3 linked regions of the Sus scrofa genome follow. The main gene of each other region encodes a partner of the protein of the gene in region 3 in a complex. Links are inferred from orthologs where the notes say so. Each region holds a gene or a part of one and is shown on either strand. Other genes may lie near its edges.

The links.
Region 1: the proteins of FBLIM1 (region 3) and FLNC are in contact, whole or in part, in an NMR structure (PDB 2K9U), measured with the Homo sapiens proteins. The link is inferred for Sus scrofa from reciprocal best matches to the Homo sapiens genes FBLIM1 and FLNC. Residues at the interface, in NP_001337080.1 of Homo sapiens: Arg8, Val9, Ala10, Ser11, Ser12, Val13, Phe14, Ile15, Thr16, Leu17, Pro19; in NP_001449.3 of Homo sapiens: Thr2339, Ala2344, Gly2345, Gly2346, Leu2347, Ser2348, Ile2349, Ala2350, Val2351, Glu2352, Gly2353, Pro2354, Ser2355, Lys2356, Ile2359, Phe2361, Asp2380, Glu2382, Phe2387.
Region 2: the proteins of FBLIM1 (region 3) and FLNA are in contact, whole or in part, in a crystal structure (PDB 4P3W), measured with the Homo sapiens proteins. The link is inferred for Sus scrofa from reciprocal best matches to the Homo sapiens genes FBLIM1 and FLNA. Residues at the interface, in NP_001337080.1 of Homo sapiens: Lys7, Arg8, Val9, Ala10, Ser11, Ser12, Val13, Phe14, Ile15, Thr16, Leu17, Ala18, Pro19, Pro20; in NP_001104026.1 of Homo sapiens: Met2207, Gly2208, Thr2263, Arg2264, Gly2267, Ala2268, Gly2269, Gly2270, Leu2271, Ala2272, Ile2273, Ala2274, Val2275, Glu2276, Gly2277, Pro2278, Ser2279, Lys2280, Ala2281, Ile2283, Phe2285, Cys2293, Glu2306, Phe2311.

The regions. Positions count from the first base shown.
Region 1 is NC_010460.4:19,784,812-19,788,862, forward strand, and holds the start of FLNC (filamin-C), read right to left. Parts: upstream 2,806-4,051; 5' UTR 2,561-2,805; coding exon 2,206-2,560; intron 1-2,205.
Region 2 is NC_010461.5:124,896,647-124,900,232, reverse strand, and holds part of FLNA (filamin-A), read right to left. Parts: intron 3,478-3,586; coding exon 3,229-3,477; intron 3,109-3,228; coding exon 3,011-3,108; intron 2,924-3,010; coding exon 2,776-2,923; intron 2,383-2,775; coding exon 2,264-2,382; intron 2,172-2,263; coding exon 2,094-2,171; intron 2,003-2,093; coding exon 1,840-2,002; intron 1,737-1,839; coding exon 1,536-1,736; intron 1,029-1,535; exon of another isoform or gene 1,023-1,028; coding exon 885-1,022; intron 799-884; coding exon 675-798; intron 591-674; coding exon 454-590; intron 369-453; coding exon 175-368; intron 53-174; coding exon 1-52. UniProt on the Homo sapiens protein: Promotes orthogonal branching of actin filaments and links actin filaments to membrane glycoproteins. Anchors various transmembrane proteins to the actin cytoskeleton and serves as a scaffold for a wide range of cytoplasmic signaling proteins.
Region 3 is NC_010448.4:74,957,277-74,960,862, reverse strand, and holds part of FBLIM1 (filamin-binding LIM protein 1), read right to left. Parts: intron 261-3,586; coding exon 147-260; 3' UTR 1-146. UniProt on the Homo sapiens protein: Serves as an anchoring site for cell-ECM adhesion proteins and filamin-containing actin filaments. Is implicated in cell shape modulation (spreading) and motility.

The sequences.
Region 1 (4,051 bases), on a different chromosome or scaffold from region 3:
AAGGAATAGCAACTGGGGAACAGCTGCGGGACAGAGCCGCCTCACAGGCCTCTTTGTTCGGAGGGGCCGAGGGGGTGGCGGGGGTAAGAAGGGCACTCGGCTCCTTCAACCCAGGCTGAGTACCCCTACCTCCTTCAGGGGCGCTGCTCAGCTACCCGCTCCCACCCTGCGCCTAGAAAAGGAAGTGGGGGATCTTTTTGACCTCCTCCCAGGTGCCCAGATAGCCAATTTCAGTCCTGACATGATGCCCAGGAGGCCCCACGCCAACCCCTTCCCACCCCCAGGCCAGAAGGAACTAGAGGAAGCAGGATGCCTGCCTGGTGGGGAACCCGCTACATCTCCCCGGGGTTGGGCAGCCCCTGCCGGCTGTGCCCCTTCCCCTCCAGCCTCAGCCTCAGGTCTAGCAGCTGAATTGCTGACAGCTTATCTCATCGGTGGCGGAGGGAATGAGCCACTTGGCCCAAATGGGGCCGGTTCCCCTACCCCTCTGCAGGAAGGGGAATGGAGGGTTCCCTCCCGCCCCCCAAACCAACTTTTGCTTCTTCCCCCTCTATTCTGAGCCGGCCTCTCCACACACAGTTGAGCCAAGGGGGCCGGAGCCAGGCACCGCCGTGGGGGAGGGGCGAGGTGTGCTCAGGAAGGATGAGGCCTGGAGAGGGGCCGAGCGCCCCCACAGCGGTGAGGGGAGGGCAAGGCTGAGCCATTTCCTATAAAGTCCTGGTGAGGCCCCAGGCTGTCCCCCTGAGACCCCACCTGGGACAATCAGTCCAGTCGGTCAAATTCCAGCTGCTGGGGGATGGCCGCCCCCTGGCCTGACTCCTCTCTGACCCCTGCCCCCCCCACCACAGAAGCTCTCAAGCAGCCCTCAGCTCTAATACATATACCAGGACCCCCTCCCCCACCCCCTGTCCTCAGGCTTGTCCTTCTGGAAAGCTCAGAGACATCTGCTGTGTCACGGAGGCAGGGCTATTTCCAGGCCAGTGAGGGTGGGGTGGGGGGGCAGAATTGGGGCAGGAGGGGGTAAGGCCTAGAGAGGGGGCCGGACAGGGCAAAGGGCCCCAGACTGACCTCAGCTGCTAATTCAGGCGGCCCAGAGATGCCCTGAGGGGGCTGGGGTGTGGACAGACCTTCAATTATCTAAATAAGTCTCTGGGGTAGCCTGGGGGGTATCAGACCCCCTGTGAATCTCCCTTCCTGGTGCCTGGGGGTGCACCCCGCCAAGGGGCCCTTTCCTGCAAATCAAGGCAAGGCTCTGGAGAGCTCACCACAGGAGGAGGGGGTTCGCTAGGCCCCCAGCTTGCGAGGATGACTGCAGGGCCTGCCCCTCTCTTCTCAGAGCCCACCCTTGGCTCCCCACTCCCAACGCTGGAGTGCCTCCCCACCCCCACCCAGCAGTGACACACCTTCCAAATCTGGTTACACTCAAAGACTTCCTCCCTTCTCCAGGCCTTCCCTCCCACCCCTCAGCCCAGACTATTAGCCGCAGCCAATCAGGGGCTAGGGGGTGGGTTGGGGCCGGGCGTGGACGGGAGGGAGCCCCTTCCCCGGCTGGTTGGAGCCGGTGGAGGACAGGCAGGGGTTAAGGATCCCCGCGGTCGCTCAGAGCCTTTTTAGGTTTCCGAGGCTGGGCCCTGCCCGCCCAGGCCCCTGCGCCCGAACCCAGCTGCCGAGCACATGCCTGCGGGGGGCCCGGGCCCCGCGCCCGCCCGGCCCCCAGCTCTCCCTCTGAGCGCTGAGATCGGGCAGCGCTCGGGACCTGTCTTCAGCCGCTCCTCCGCGGTGGAGGTGCTAGGAGACTGAGAAGCCATTTGCTTTGTTTGGGGGGAGGTGCCCCCGGGAATCCGTGTTGGTCCCTGGCCCTGTCCTCTCAAGCCTGGCCTGGGTTGCGGAGGGCAGGAAAGGGGACGATGAGTGGAGGCGGGTCGCTGGGAGCGTGCGAGGGAGGCTGAAGCTGGAGGACTCAGAACAGTCGGGTCTGGACTCCCCTGGGCCCCCTCGGGATGCCAGCCGTCCAGAGAGGGATGTGAGGGCCGGGCCCGGCGCGCCTGTGTCGGCGGGCGGGAGAGCCGAGCCAGGGTCCCCTCCCGGAGCCGGGGCGCTCCCCGCCCTGTCTCGGCTCTCCGCGCGCCCACCCGGCACCTGCGTCCCCTGGCCCCACCGGCCAGCCCCTCCTCGGGGTATGTCCCCCTCCCTGCCCGCACTGACCGATGGACACGAGCTTGATATGCTCGCGCTCGAGGAACTCGAGGGCCACGGACACGTTCTCCAGCTTCATCTGGCGGAAGTTGGGGCGCGGGTGAAACTTGCGGTACATGCGCTTCTGGCTGAGCACCTCGAGCAGCGCGATGAGGCGCAGCCCGTCGCTGAGGTCTCGCTGCAGGTCGGTCAGGCGCTTGCCCACGCACTTGAGGTGCTCATTGCACCAGCGAGTGAACGTGTTCTGCTGGATCTTCTTCCACGGCGCGTCCTCGGCCAGGTCCTTCTCTGTAGAGGGCATGTCGTCCACCTCGTCGCCCAGGCCGAGGCCCGCGGCCTCGGAGTAACCGCTGTTGTTCATCATTCCGGCGCCGGCTGGGGCGGGGGCTGCGCTGCCGGCTGGGGTCTGGCTGGGGGCGGCGGGCTGGGCTCGGGCTGGAGGCGCTGTCGGGGCGCGATCGCGGGACTCGCGGCTCTGCGCTGCGCGGTGCGCTGCTCTCAACTTCTCTCGCGCCTCTGGCTGGCGGGACTCGGCGGGCCTCCTCGGCTCCTCGGCCGCGGGCGCTCTCTCGGTCTCTCTCCCTCCGGGGGCGGAGCGGTGCTCGGGAAGTGCGGGCTGGGCTGGGGCGGGGGGTTTAAGAAGCCCCCGGGCCGCGTCCCCCCCGCCGCGCCCGCGGCCCCCGGGTCCACGTCAGAGCGCCGGCCTCCCAGGAATGCCGCCCGGCCCGCGGGTGGGGGCCGCGCCGAGCCCGCCGGCCCCGCCTCCCTCCCCCTCCCCCACCCGGCCGCCCGCGGGAGGGGGTCTACCGCCCCCGGCCCGGGGCGCGGCCCCGGGGAGGCTCGGGGCCGGGCGCCGCCGCCGCCGCCGCGCGGGAAAGGTGGAGAGCAGAGCTGGAAAGTGAGGGGTGAGGGCCGCCAACACCCCAAAGCTGAACATCGCCGGTCGGGCATATACCCCGCCACCGGCGAGATGAGAGGCTCCTGGGGAAACTAAGTCCAGTGGTTAGGGCAAAACACGCTGATCGGGTGTTGACAGAACTTTCTGGATTGGTTGGTGGCAGGGCTGTTGACAGGGCCTGGGAGTCCTGGCGTCTAGCCCAGGGTATTGTCCACCTGCGGACAGGGAAGGGAAGTGTGTGTGCTTGTGTGCAGATAGACAGACGCTGCCCAACCCGAGAAGCCTTAGAGTAGGGGTGCTCCCCTTGATGGGTAAAAAGTCTCACCTGAAGCCCAAACCCAGGGTCCCAGGGGAAAGACGGCGGCTACCCCTGACTCAGTGTCCCTGTCACCAGCCTGTTTGTCCTCATCCTCTCAGAATGAAGCTGAGCTCAGGAGAAGGGTACCCAGTGAGTCACACGGTGCCCCCCCACCCCCAGTTCTGACTCAACCAAGGTGATGAGAGGGGAGGGAGGGCCTCGGTACAGTAGTACCCGGAAGCCCCCTGGGCAGTGTGCCCATTTGGGCCACAGGGCAGATCCTTCAAGTCAAAGGGCAGGTTAGCCAGACAGAGACAGGAGAGCCCGGCCTAGAGCAGCCAAGGGGAGACACTTTGGGGCTGGTGGGCAGGGAGAGCCCCAGGGAGCCTGCCAGGAGGCCTGGGCAGGACTGGGCTCGGGGTAAACCAAGGCAGCTGGAGGCCTAGGGAGTGGTGACAGCAGGGCAACGGAGACACTTAAAGAGAGCAGCTGGCCTGGGGTGAGTTGGAAAAGCAGAAGGACATACTTGTGTAAAGAGAATACGTATCCTGCAATTCTGTAGGATGTGTGTGTCCCACACCTCCTGGTGTCCCCTTTAGGTCAGACTTTCTCCTCTTTCCCATCCTTCTGGTCCCATAAGTTTGGGCCCCGACTCAAGT
Region 2 (3,586 bases), on a different chromosome or scaffold from region 3:
GCTTGTTGACGGCCACGCCCGTCTTCTCCAAGCCGGGCCCGCGTGCCTTCACCTGACAAGAGACCACGCAAGGCTCAGGGGCCAGGTGTCAATGCCAGAGACGGCGCGGCAGGAGCCCTACCAGCCATCAGGGGCACCAGCCTAGCCTCCCGGCCGGCGGCACACACCCCCTACCCTGTCGGGATGGAAGTCGGGGGGCGCCTCGCGGATGTCGGCCATGAAGGGGCTGAGGCGGATGTCCTCGCTGTTGCACAGCACGTGCACCGCGTACTCGCCGGCCTCCTGCGGCCAGTAGCGCACGTCGCAGGAGCCGTCGCCCTTGTCGTCACACTCGATCTTGGCCTGCGACGGGCCCTCCACCGAGAAGCCTGCCGACAGCCGCCAGCTCCGTCAGCACCCTGGAGCCTCGGCGGGGCGGCCCTCGCCACGCTCTGCCCCCAGCTGCCAACTCACCCAGGGTGCCGACATCGTCCCCGATGGCCTCCACCACGAAGTCGGCCGACTTGCCAACGACGCCACCCTCCAGCCCGGGGCCCCAGGCCCGCACCTTCTGATTGCCACACTCGGTGCCCACCTTCACCTCAAAGGGGCTGCAAGGAGAGAGCCACGCAGGGGAGTGCCCAGCGCCCACGGCGAGCCCGGCAGGGGGGAGGGGCGCCCGGCCCAGGCCTCACCTGCGCCCGATGTTCTGGCCACCCCACGTGATGGTGACGGTGTAGGTGCCGGGGACCGTGGGGTAATACTCGAAGCCGTAGACGCCATCCCCCAGGTCCTTCTGTTTCACGCGCTCTTCGCCCTCTGCCAGGGACAAGGGAGGGCCTCAGGCTGCCGCCCAGCCGCCGCCCGAGGCCGGCAGCACCCACCCCGGCTGCAGGCCAACTTACTGGGACCCTTCACGACGACCTTCAGCTCCCCGCTGCCCGCGCCTTTCGTGTACACCTTGAAGTCGGCAACCTCTTTCACGCGCACACCTTTGGGTTGCAGGCCCCGGCCGACGGCACGGCAGGCGCCTGGGTTACAGGCTGTGAACGGAGGGCTGGCTGAGCTCCTGGGAGCTGGGGCCTGGCCAACCCTCCCCTGCCTCCCGCGGGGCCGGGCCAGGCCGTCGGGCCGCACAGGAGGGCGAGGGATGTGTGAGGAAGATCCGGAAGGGACCGTGACCCTGGGACCTGCGGTCCAGGCTGGACGTGGCAGGCCTCCTCCCACCTGCTCCGTCCGCCCCCGCCCCCGGCCCCCACCCGGCCCGCCCCTCCCAGCACCCAGAGCAAGACAGATCCAAGTACCGTGGACCCTGTGGGCAGAGCAGAGAGCAGCGGGTTTCTAGACAGCTGGAGCGAGCTCTTCCGAAGGTGAAAGCGTGGAGAGAGAGAGACGGAGAGGCGAGAGAAGGAGGAGGAGGCCCCCGCAGGGGAAGAAAGAGCTTCCCCAGACAGCGGAGGCACAGACAGCCCCAGGGGACGGGGCGGGGGCCGCCTCCCCTCCCGCGGCTGCAGGGCCGCAGCCGTGCCCCACGGAGGCTGCCGGGGCTGGCCTACCTTGGCCAACAGCGACAGTGTAGGGGCTGCGCGGGATGGGCACGCCGGCGAAGGTGACGTGCACCGTGTGCACGCCCTCCATGGTGGGCTGGTAGCTGCAGCGGTACGTGCTGTCGCCCCGGGCCTCCAGCTGAGGCTCCACGGTACCCTTCTGTCCCGCAGGGTCCTGGATCACGACCTCCACTTCGCCCGAGCCGGCTCCTGCCACGAGGCACCGTCTCAGCTCCCAGAGCCCCCAGGCTGCTCCCAGGCCCTGGCAGCCCTTCCCCCAGGGCTGCCGGCCTTGGCACCCCACCCCCCTCACCTGCTGTGAAAATCTCGAAGTAGGTGGTCTTGTTGGCGATGTTGCCGCTGGGCTCCAGGCCGGGGCCCTGGGCCGTCACTTTGCTGGCGTCGCCCTGGGACTTGTCCACATACACCTCGAAGGGGCTCTTGGCGATGTGCTGGCCGGCGAAGAGCACGGTGACCTGTTCCCAGGAGGGGCGGGCTGTGAGGGCAGGGTCGGGGCCCTCCAGCGACTGCCCTCGCCACCAGCCTCCCCTCCGGCCGAGGGCTCACCTTGTGAGTCCCCGTCACCTCGGGGACATACCAGACAGAGAAGGTGCGGTTCTTGTCGTTATTGGCGGTCACCTTCGCCTAGGGTGGGAAGGAGCCCATGAGCCTCTGGTCAGAGTGGCCCCTCCCGGTGGAGGCGCGGCAGCCACCGCCCTGCTTGGCGGCAGTCCTACCTCCTCCTGGTGCCCGGCTGGGTCCTCCACGTACACCAGCACCTCTCCCTGGCCGGCGCTTCTGGTCTCCACAGTGAACTCAGCCCGCTTCTTCACCATGTTGCCCGTCGGCTCGATGCCTGCCCGGGGCCAGGGAGGAAGGGGCTGCCGGTTAGGGCCGCTGCCCCCCACCAGCCTGCCCAAGCCCGCCGGGCGGGCGCCCACGGAACCGGGCACAGAGCCTGGCCTTCAGCCCCCGCCACACGCCTGCCGTGGGGCAGGCCTGGGCCTGTTTTCTAGAATGCTCCCTTGAGTTTGCCTGGGCCTGTGCTCCTGCCTCCTGGAACACGCTCCGCCGCAGGCGGATGGGCCATGGGGAATGTCCCAGCCGGTGGCCGGTTCCCACCGGTCCTGACCCCCTCCCGTCTGACCCATGGGGGCGTGTGACACACTAGCCGCCGCGAGACCTCGAGAGAGAGGACCGCCCCCCCGGGGAGGTCTTTGAGCAGGAGCACCCCGGCGGGCCCCCTCACCTGGCCCGTAGGCTCGGGCCTTCTTCGGATTTAGCTTGGGCCGCAGGGGAGCCCCTGGTTTCAGCTTGGCCTTGGGGAACTGCGACAGGTAGGTCATCACGGAGTGCTCGTCCACGTTGGGGTCCACGATCTCCTCAGGGGTGATCACCTGTCACGAGTGGAAGAAGAAGCCGTTTGGCCTGCGAGTCCCAGGATCCAGGGACGCAGCACCTCAGCCCCAGGCGGCCCACGGTACCTGAGGGATGCCCAGCCAGTCGTCGGCCTGCTGCATGGCTTCCCGCGCGTTGTTCACCGGCTTGCTGGCATCCCAAGAGTCCCAGTCGGGACACAGGCCTGCGGTGTGAGGAAGGCCGTGAGTCCGCGGGCACGCGGGACCTCCCTGCGCACCAACCCCGCCTCCCCCCCCCCCCCGCCCCGCCCCGCCCCGCAGGCAGCCCCCTAGCCCCCGCGCACCTGGAGCACAGCTGTCGACAAGGGCGCCCAGGGCCCTGCCGCTCTGCCAGTCCCGGCTGAAGTTGGTGATGGGCAGCTGCGGCAGCTTGTTCTGGATCCAGCCCAGGAGCCTCTGCTTGGGGGTCTGTTTCTTGGCCTCCTCGTCCTCCTCCTCATCCCACATGGGCATGGAGATGGAGTAGTGCAGGATCAGCGTCCAGATGAGGCCCAGGATCAGCTTGAGGTTCCCGTCCACGATGGCCTTGCTGTCTGCATGGGGAGGGAGCGGCAGAGCTGGGCAGGCCGGCCGACGGGCGCACACGGACATGGCCACGTGGGCTGGGGGGCAGCACACCCGCAGGCCCAGCAGCCCGGGCAG
Region 3 (3,586 bases):
TCCAGGACATGATGGGCCGAGCCTCAGGCTGGTCCCGGTGCGGCTAGGAAGGAAAGTGTGCAAGAGCAGGAGAGGAAGGGAAACAAGTTAGGGAGGGGCCCCGAGCGGGGCTAGTGTGCGACCTTGGCCCCAGCCCACGGGTGCCCTCAGCAGCAGCTCGCCGCGCTCCGCTTCACGTGGCACGGCTTGCAGAAGAGACGGTTGTTCAGAGGGTAGCAGCCTTGGTCCGTGGGCTCCACAGACAGGAGGATCCTGCAGTCCTGTGGGAACAAGACACACGTAGATGGACCCCAGGCCTGAGCACTGCGGCCTGGACCCACACAGGTGGGACTCACCAGCACCCACCGATGCAATGAACGGAATAAGCTGAGGGGAGAACCGAGGACACTGTGGGGAGAGGAGGGCCTTCGGCAGAGAGGCCCCTGAGGGATCGTGGAAAGGACTAGAAGGGCCTTAACCTCCCTGAGGTCTGGGGAGGGGTGGGTTCCACATCTGGGACAGGACCAGATCTCCAGCTTCAGAGTCTAGGGGTCTCTCTGTCATCCTACCACCTGGACAGCCCTAACACTGGCACAAACTTTAACATTTCTAATGTCTCTAAATCACCAAAAGATTTTTTTTTTTTTTAATTTTTACGTTTTTATTTTTTGGCATGCGGAAGTTTCTAAGCCAGGGATCAAACCTGAGCCACAGCAGTAACCAGAGCCACAGCAGTGACAATGCTGGATTCCAACTGAGCCACCTGGAAACTCCAAAATCACCAAAAAAGATTTTAGAACGAGGAGGATGGGGATTCAGGGGCCCAAACTTTGCCAATGTCACCATTCTGCCATGAGGCTGCACCTCCTCTGGGCCTCACCAGGACACATATGGGAGACTAATAACAGGAACATTTAATGTCCAGAGACCAGGCTCAGCGCACAGCTGGAATCCTCTGGAAGCTGCCCTGATCTGCCCAGAGGAGCTATTCTCCATAGAGACAATTGGGGTCACGGGTGCCATCCTGACCCAACACAGCCAGCTGGGGAGGGCGCCCTCGTGTGTCTTGTCCCTAGAACTGCACCTCTAGAGTCTCTCTAGGGAATCCTGGGCTAGTTAATGCCAGGACCTGTGCTGTTCCAAAAGGCCACTTGTATGGCATTCTGAGAGCATCGAGTGCCAAACCTCAAGTCCCCAAAAGGCACATGTGAACTCTTCTAAATCAGAATCAAGTGAGAAAACATCTCAACTATGATGGTGTCACACAGTCTGTGAAGGAGCTGTCAGGTGACAGAAAGCCGGCCAGCCCAGAAGAGCAGGGGCAGAACCGCTTTCTTGGCCTGTTTCTTCATCTTAAATGGGGACAGTAAGTCCCCTATCACAAGATCGTCATTAGGATTCAAGAAGGCATGTGTATATGAAAGCATTTTATATATTAAAAACTCAACATGATGGAGTTCCTGTTGTGGCTCAGCGGTTAACGAACCTGACTAGCATCCATGAGGACACAGGTTCGATCCCTGGCCTCACTCAGTGGGTTAAGGATCTGGCGCTGCCGTGAGCTGTGGGGTAGGTGGCAGACATGGCTTGGATCCTTGCTTTGCTGTGACTGTGGTGTAGGCCAGCAGCAACAGCACCAATTCGACCCCTAGCCTGGGAACCTCCATATGGGTGGGTGCGGTCCTAAAACATGAACAAACAAACAAAAAAACTCAACATGATGGAGTTCCTGTGTGGCTTAAGGACCTGGGGTTGCCGCAAGCTGCAGCACAGGATGCAGCTGCAGTGCAGGATTCAGATGCAGCTCAGATCCGTGTTACTATGGCTGCGGTTCCAGCTGCAGCTCTGATTCTATCCCTAGCCCAGGAGCTTCCATGTGCCCCAGGTGCGAGCATAAAAATTAAAAAAAAAAAACTAGCTGAGTATGAAAGTTGTGTCACCCTTCCAACAACAGTAAGAAATAACCTAGACGAGGAGTTCCCGTGGTGGCTCAGTGGTTAACGAATCCGACTAGGAACCATGAGGTTGCGGGTTCGATCCCTGGCCTTGCTCAGTGGGTTAAGGATCCGGCATTGCCGTGAGCTGTGGTGTAGGTTGCAGACGCGGCTCAGATCCCGTGTTGCTATGGCTGTGGTACAGGCTGGTGGCTACAGCTCTGATTCGACTCCTAGCCTGGGAACCTCTATATGCTGCAGGTGCGGCTCTAGAAAAGGCAAAAAAGACAAAAAAAAAAAAAAAAAAAAAAAGAAAGAAAGAAAGAAATAATCTAGATGACAAAATAAGCAGGAATGGCAGTGTGGACAGTACCTTGAAACCCATTTCCCTTCCTAGAGAAACAGGACCCCAAATCTGCTCCAGGTTGCTGCAGCTGGAGGCTTACAGTCTGAAACACAGCTGCTAGAGTCCAAATTGACTCACCGTAGCAGCCTGGGTAATGTTCCCGTAGCCTTGGCCAAGCTGATCAAAGACAAGCTGGGAGGGTAATTTGCTCACTAGCCAGGCTCAGGGAAATGCCACTTGCCACTGGACCTAACGTGGTCTAAGGCAGGGACAACAGCACTTGAATTTCATCATTGTTCTTTCAAGATGCGTTATCACTTGGACTTTGAACTATAACCAACAAATCAACATAATTATGAAGCAGTGTGTCAACTTCTCAGCTAAGCTTCCTGGTCATGTTCAGTGAAAATGGCCTCTTGGCTCCACATATCTGTTTAAATGGGAGGGAATAGGAATTCCCATCATGGCTCAGTGGTTAACAAACCTGACTAGGATCCATGAGGATGAGGGTTCAATTCCTGGCCTTGGTCAGCGGGTTAAAGATCCGGCATTGCCGTGAGCTTGGTGTAGGTCACAGATGCAGCTTGGATCCTTCATTGCTGTGGCTGTGGCTTGGGCCGGCAGTGGTAGCTCAGGCCGGCAGGTGTAGCTCCGATTCGACCCCTAACCTGGGAACCTCCATATGCCATGAGTGCAGCCCTAAGGGAAAAAAAAAAAAAGACAAATAAAAAATAAGTGGGAGGAAATAAAGATTTGGAATCACTCCTTGGCTGGTTAAGAGATTTGGTCTGGGAGTGCCCACTTAGGTGATAACTCTGTCACCATCACCAAGGAAGACAGAAACATCAGTGACATGGGGGTGACAAGAAGAGGGAGGGGAGGACTCTTGGAGCCTCCTCAGCAGGAGTAACTATATAATTTGCAAGGTTCAGGGCAAAAATGAAAATGGAGAGCCCCGTATTCAAAATGAAGAATTTCTAAAAATGACAGCAGAGCTTCAAACCAAGCACAGGAGCCTTCTGAGTGTGGGGCCTGTGTCACCTCCACCCCACTCCCCGGCATTTCCTGCTGGGACTACTGCACGCACTTCCAACCAGCCTCCCCACTCCCTGTAGCCTGAGGTCCAGACTTCTTAGCTTGGCACACGGGGTCTTTTCTTTCTCTCTGGCCCCATAGTTACCACACCATTCGCCATGCTGTACTCAGACACACCTAGAAATTTCTACTTCTCCCGATGCTTCAGGCTCACTGATGCCACTGTGAGATTTTACAGGTCCTTGCCTCTTTCTGCCTTTTCTAGGGCCGCACCCAGGGCACATGGAGGTTC